2 linked regions of the Coturnix japonica genome follow. The protein of the gene in region 1 interacts with the protein of each later gene in a pairwise test. Links are inferred from orthologs where the notes say so. Each region holds a gene or a part of one and is shown in the gene's direction. Other genes may lie near its edges.

Region 1 (4,352 bases):
GAGCGCTTCAAAACAGGAAGCGTGCAAGGACAGGCGTGCTCTGCGGGTACGAGAAGTGAGCTCCTGCCCCAGCAGCATAGGAAGTGTAACAGAAAAGAGCATGTCAAACTCTCCTTGAGCACAGCACGACCACTTGTGGTCCTAAAGAAGCAAAGAGAAGTTGGGGGAAACCCCAGAAGACAACCTGGCTCAAATGAAGAAGATCCTACCAGCCCTACAAACTCTGCTTTCAATCAAAGAAGGGGTTTGTTCAGGTTTTTGGGTTGTTTTGTGAAGAAAGGACTAAGCTTTTGTTACACACATGGCTAAACCAGCAGGCTTCTCTATGAGCATCAGATCTGACGCTGTCATGCAGCACCCAACAACACACAGAGCTGTGACCCTGCTGTGTGCTGGCTGCCCTGTTGTACTGTGTCCAGGTGTAGAGCCCTCAGTACAAAAATGACATGGAGATTTTGTTAAGGGTCCAGAGGAGGGTCAGGAAGATGATCAGGGGGCTGGAGCACCTCCCCTATGAGGACAGGCTGAGGGAGTTGGGTTTGTTCACCCAAAACAAAAACCAGTCTCTAACACAGGAACACCAGCACTATAAATAAGCAGAAATAGGGACTTTAGACCCTCATTTTATACCTTTATTCCCCACACCCCCTGTCAGCACAGCGCCCATCCACACAGCGGCACCTGCCCTCCTCTCCTCAGTGCAGGGGGGTGGGGATGCGGACGGGCCCTGCCGCCCCCTCCTCTCGTCTTTCCCCTTTATCCCCCTTCTCCCCTCGGTTCCTCCGGCCTTACCCTGCGCACTGCAGTCCGCACACACCTCGCTGCTCCTCAGCCGCTTCGACATCGCTGTTCGGATCGGGACCGGCCGCTTCCTGCCGCGCTCAAGGGGCCGCCTCAGCCCCCGCCGGGCGGCCGAGCCGAGCGCGTAGTGCGCATGCGTACGTCAGCACCGCACGCTACGCCGCCGCTCGCTATTCACGAAGCATTTTACGCTAACGTGAGAAGCCAGGCGGAGCTGCGCTGCCGTAGCCGTCGTATCGCCCTAACTTAAAATGGCGAATAGAGACACTGCCCTCACTCGCAATGGCTGCGTGTCTTCCGTATTTCCGCGGTAGAGCATGCGGGCGAAACCAACGCTGCCCAGAGGCGGGGGGGGATGGTGAGAACAGGGCGGCTCGTCAGTGTTACGGCTCAGAGGTTCCCCCCCTTGAGAGGTAAAGCGATGGAGGAGCCGGCGGGCAGGACGCCCTGTATATAAATGGGGGGAGAGCGGGGAATTGAGACTTCCGCTTGTGTGAGGGTCTGTGGGCTGCAGCGGGGAGAGAACGGGGCCCTATTGAACGCAGCTGCCGTGCTGTGGGACGGCCCTACCGCTGCCCTGGAGGGAAAGGAAGGGGCCAAGGGACGGGGGTGAGGAGACGGCTTGGGTGGGAAAGGGGCTGGGGTGTGAGGTGGGGCCTAAGGATGGGGGGAGCAGGGCACTGGGAGCTGGAGACTGAGGGATAAGGGTGGGGAATAGGAGTGAGGGTCTTAGGGAGGGCACCAGGAATGGGGACAGAGGGGGGTGGGAGCAGAGCCCTAAGGCTGAGGGACCTGGGGGGGAAGGGGGAAGAAAGAGGGGGGGGAAGGCAGAAGCTGAGGTGTAAAAGGGACCCCAGATATAGGAGAATAAAGGGGACTCCAAAAACAAGGGCCTGAGGAAACGGGGGGGGGCAGGAGTGGGGGATTCAAGGAGAGCTATAGGTATGTGGGTCTGAGAGAGGGGATGGCCATAGGGATGAGGGGTGGGGGGCAGAAGCTGAAGCCTAAAGGGGATTAAAGGGGAGCAGAGACTTGAGGGAGGCCATAGGGATGGTGGTTTGGGGGGGGGGGGGGGGGGGGGGGGGGGGGGGGGGGGGGGGGGGGGGGGGGGGGGATAGAGGTCTGAGGGGGTCAGTAGGAGCAGCCCCCCCCCCCAGGGTGTGGGATTTTGCATGGGGTGCCCCTAAACAAAGCAGGGGGTGGTGAGGGCAGGCTGCCTGCTTCCCCTGCTCCTGCAGGTGCGTGGCATGATGAGTTCCCCCGGCAGGGCCAGCGCTGCGTACCCCCTGCATGTCCTGGTTTGGAATAATGATTACCAGCGGTTGGATGAAGAGCTGCAAGAACAGGTAACTGCTGCCTTCCTGGGCAGAGAGAGCCTTGGCTGTGCCCCGGGTCTGTGCCAGGCTGGTGGGACTGTTTTCCTTCTGCACCTGTCTGTTTGTGGGTTTGAGAGTGAGGTAAGAAGGTATAGGGATGTGATGGACTTTCACTGTTTATCTGAGCAAAAAGAAGCAGCAAACAGAGCTTGCTTTAATGGAAAATCAGAGTGCAGCGCTGCTGCTGCTAGAGATGAGGGCAGGATGCAGCTTGCTGCTGACCAGCAGTGCTTAGAGGCAGCAGTTTTATACTGGCTGGAGTATTCTCAGCATCTCTGTTTAAAAAAAAAATATTAAATAGACTCATTGTTTCATGCTGTAGAGTAGAAAAATACAAAGCTGTTCTCTCTTTGGGGTGGCAGAGAGAGAAATAGTAATGACGTAAGGGAAGAACAGTGTGAAATGCTGCAGCAGAGCTCAGGCTTTAAGCATCCTTTGTGCTGAGGCACCCTGTGAAGGCTCAGGTGCACACTGGGGTGAGGGGAGAATCGTTTGGAAGCAGAACACATCCATTGCATTCTGCCTGGCACCACAAGGACACTATCCCAAGTTGGGCTGTGTCACCCCCCTGACTGGTGATTGCCATCTGCAGTTCTAACAGTGCTCCACGACTTACTAATGCTTGCTGAGAGCATGCACCTCCCCTGGTTTTTGAAGGAGAATCTTTGGAATGCAGTTAGTTTTCATCTGATTTGCTTTATTTTAATCCTTAACGTTGCTGTCACGTTGTTTCAGTTTATTTCTATTGCAGTAACGTTTTGATGTGTGAACATTTGTAATCAAATAAGGATCCTTGTGCTGCTTGTCCTTGTGAGACTGAGGCTAAGTGAGCATCCACACCTGTGAGTGCTCCTCCCAGACTCAAGTACTCTTCAATGTGAGGCAATGAGCAGCGTGTTGAGATGGGACACTTCCATCTCATATTTCTCTGCCTTTCAATATTATTTTTCCCCTTTAAAGTATTCCAAAGATCTGTTTCCTCCTGCTTCCTCAGGATAAGCTTCTTGCTGGCAGAGGGGCACGTGAAGGAATCAATGCCAGCTGCACTGGGTATGGCAAGGAGGAGTGGAATAGGGGTTTACTGGTTAGCAGAGGTCCTTCCTACATTAGTGCAATTAGCATTGGAGTTTTAGGAAGTGGGGAAGCAAATGCATTGGTATTCCAGAACAGAAGTGTGTAAAGAATGCTTTAAAATGAAGCTTCCCCCATTGTGTGTGATCTTTCAAACTTGATGCTGTCAGATAACTGCGTTAACTTGCATAATAACTTACCTGTTCTGCTATTGACTTTCCCCTTTTCCTTTAGTTATAGATGCTCTTCTGTTTCAAATCTCTAAGCTAATAGTGAAAGATATGTAAGGTATGAGTATGTTGTGCTTGCATGTTTTGGATCTTTATGCTTGTGTGGTCTCTTATTTTTAGTGACTCGTACAAAATGCATTCGCTCTTCATTGTGCTGTGTGTCAGTAAAAATGAATGCCTTGTCACTTACCATTTGCTTCTATGCTCTCAAAAAGTGCTACACAAGATCGGTGTTGTATCGCCTGTTGGGTCGTTTTGTTTCTTTTCCCCTCTTTTTCCCCTTCCTGTTATGCTGTACATTAAATCCTCCTGGTGATCTCTCTCAAGCTGTTAACTGTGCGTGTTTCAGTGCACACAGAACTGTCTTTTCCTAAGAGGGACTGCTTCAAAAGGGGGAAATAATTACAGGAAGAGAAATGAGAAGCATCACTGAGAGCTCAGTTGTGTTTTACAGTGATGCCAGTTTGTAGGCACTGTCCTGCTTCTCTTTTTATTTCGGTGGGGAAGTGAGATCTCAGTGTACTGAGGGCAGAAGGGCAGCACAGCAGTGTTTGCAACCAGAGTGAGTACGTAGCATGAGATGTGTGGGCATACATAGGGAACGTTGGCTCCTAGGTTATTTCCAACAAGCTTTATGTGAACTCCTGTCAGTGCATTGTGGTTAATTGCGTTTGCTAGAGCAACGTCAGCATTACTTATCTCTTGGATACTCAACAGGATGTTGAACAACGTGATCCCCGGGGCCGGACCTTGCTGCATCTTGCTGTTTCCTTGGGTTACGTAGAATCTGCCAAAGTCCTTCTTCAGCACAAGGCAGATGTTACTAAAGAGAATGCACAGGGATGGACAGGTAAAGATCATTTTAAAACCAGAA
Region 2 (2,725 bases), on another chromosome or scaffold:
TGGGGAGGTAGGGACCACAGCAGAAGAATCAGTGATTTGCTTTCATGTTTTCAGCTGGCAGTTTGCAATGAGTCTGGACTTTTTTAAAAGCACAGCAGTGCTTTGGGCAAACACATTGAGCTTATTAACTTCAGGAAGAGTTGGGAAAGAATTGTTACTCAACTTTTGCAAATATGACTTGCTGGCTTGTTATTTTCAGCCATTAAGGAAGGAATCCTCTTTTTCTTGTTTGATCTTCCTGTGATTTTTGTTCCTCTATGTGAAAATGTTGACTCATTCAATGCAAATTGAAGAAAACTGAAAATAATACAATAGCTACAGTAAGTAGTTCAACAGCAATGGCTAAGAAACATAGAAAAGGCTTAAGAAGGCTTAGTATCTGGTTTACAGAAGAGGGGAATATGATAGAAGTGTGAATATTTTATCATAAAATAAAAGGAGGTAGCTAATGCTGACGGTGATCCCTCCTAATAACTGTGGATATTATACGGTTTATCTAATTGAATGTAACAGAAACATTTATGTAATGCAAAATTACCTTTATACCTTCACTGCAGAATACTTCCTTGGGTACTTTGAAAAGGAGTTGTACAGAGAGGTAGAAAGTCATCCAGTTGTAGTAGACAAAATACATTTAGAATCATAGAATTACCCAGGTTGGAAAAGACCTTGAAGATCAACCAAAGTCCAACTGCAAGCCTAACCATAGTACCCGAACTCCCTAACAACCCTCTGCTAAATCATATCCCTGAGCACCACATACAAATGGCTCTTAAACACTCCAGGGACGGCGATCCGCCACCATCCCTGGGGAGCCTATTCCAGTGTTTAACTTCCCTTTCTGTAAATAATTGTTTCCTAACATCCAACCTAAACTTACCTTGGCACAACTTGAGGCCATTTATCTTTTTTCCTATGTGCTTAACCATTGTCTGTGCTGCTTGGCAGATGTGTACCATGAGACAGCGCTGAGACCTGTCAGCAACCTTGATTGTCCAGCTCTTGTACTTGAGCAGTATGTTGCATGCTCTCATTCCCATACATCTTACGCTGCTGAGTACTGTCTGTCTGAAAAGCAGCTGTGCTCCCGAAGATGCTGGATTTACATGCAGGTTGTTTAGTCACTTTCTGCCCGGGCTGGGTTTTCTATTTGATAGTTTTTTTTGTAGCTTCCTCCAGAGGGCCTGTCAGAATTAGGATGCTGCTGCAGTGAGTTACTGTACTGGAGAGAAATGTGGGTGCTCAAGTCCAAACCTGTGAATACTTCAGACTTATGTTCAAAGTTAACAGGTGATTACTTGATTAAAGTCACTGAGTCTCTTCACACTTAAAAAAACAAAACCATTGAGGTTAACTCCCTTGGTCCTTCAGGGTGTGTTCTGAAGTGTTAAATAAACATGTAGAAAGCAGTAAGTTTGTCAGTTCTGTAACGCTCAAAGCTTTTCCGTTGTTCCTGTTTGTCTATTAGAAGGCTTTTGTTTGGGTTTGTTTTTCCTTGTAAATTCAAATTTAATTTTTTTTCTTGAATAGTATTTCTGTATGTTTTAAATCTGTTTCTGTGCTTGCTGTGGTAAGTGATACAAAACTTATTATTAATTAAAGTAACGTGTTTGTGTCATATTACCAATATTGAGAACTGTGCTTTAGTTTGCCTGTTTTTTGTTGCTAGGGATGGTTGGCTATGGCATGGCTAAAGGAGCAGTGCACCAGCTGTGTCGGAGTTTGGCTGGTGCCAATAGCGGGTTGCCATCTGGCTCTGCTGCTGTTGCTATTTTACCGTAAGTGCTTGAATACTTACCTTTGCCTGCACTGTTTTGTTACTGCTGCAACCTAGAATTGCACTGGTGTGGTTGTGATGTCCTGTTCACGCTTCTCAAGTAACTTAGATTGTGAAAAGGAGTGTCTTGAACATATGAAAGTGGCAGTGGGCAAGTTGTCCTAACAGTGGATAAGTTTTTTTTCACTTGCTGTGCAAAACAGTAGTGGGTGTTAGGGTTAAAAGTTGATTCAGCTTTAAACGTTCTGACAGTAGCCGACTACTAATGTCACCTTTTCAGTACGGTCAGAAGGTAAGAAGGACTTTTCAGCACAATTTTAGACTTAGTTGTGTGATTATAGCAAAGAAAGGATTACTGGACAAGTCTTTGCTTAGAAAATCTTCATATCTTCATCCACAGAAGCAGCTGGGGTTGATCAGTAAAAATTAGTCACCTTGAGGTTCTGTAGGAAAACGAAATCTAGCTTGTATTTGCCTGTCAGAGCCATCTTTTTGATGCTTTGAGAAAAGTTAGTGTAAAATGAGCAAACTGGTAGGTCTTTGCTATATCAAAGTCCATTGGTATTGCTGCAAGAGTTATTGATCTTACCAGGTCCATACCTGGAGCCAAAACTTAAAATTTTAAACAGTTCTCTATGGGTATTTGGGATGTTGCCCAAAATCTAACTGCATGTTTTCCTCACACACATGCTGTTATGCACACTCCTTCAGGTCAGAAAACAGCACTGAGAGTGTTGGATCACTAACACAGTGTCCTACAGAGCTTTGCAGACAGGCAGACACCAAGAATGCTTTTGTACTTTTGGCCATTCTGGATTTGTGCAGGTCTCAGGAGTTCTTCAGAGTAATTATATACTGTATTGTCAACAGTAAAGCAGTAAGACAGTTCTGAAAACTTCAGCCTTTAATATTATCAAAGTCCAAACATACTGGGCCTGCACACTTGAG

Evidence for each region.
Region 2: the proteins of ANKRD13A (region 1) and QDPR interact in a two-hybrid assay, tested with the Homo sapiens proteins (2 studies listed by BioGRID). The two-hybrid records come from large-scale screens. The link is inferred for Coturnix japonica from reciprocal best matches to the Homo sapiens genes ANKRD13A and QDPR.

Annotation. Positions count from the first base shown.
Region 1 is NC_029530.1:6,004,556-6,008,907, forward strand, and holds the start of ANKRD13A (ankyrin repeat domain-containing protein 13A), read left to right. Parts: upstream 1-1,243; 5' UTR 1,244-1,258; coding exon 1,259-1,410; intron 1,411-2,039; exon of another isoform or gene 2,040-2,048; coding exon of another isoform or gene 2,049-2,068; coding exon 2,069-2,147; intron 2,148-4,195; coding exon 4,196-4,328; intron 4,329-4,352. Other genes in the region: ARF GTPase-activating protein GIT2, read right to left, coding at 793-844. UniProt on the Homo sapiens protein: Ubiquitin-binding protein that specifically recognizes and binds 'Lys-63'-linked ubiquitin. Does not bind 'Lys-48'-linked ubiquitin.
Region 2 is NC_029519.1:68,886,196-68,888,920, forward strand, and holds part of QDPR (dihydropteridine reductase), read left to right. Parts: intron 1-1,669; coding exon 1,670-1,778; intron 1,779-2,725. UniProt on the Homo sapiens protein: Catalyzes the conversion of quinonoid dihydrobiopterin into tetrahydrobiopterin.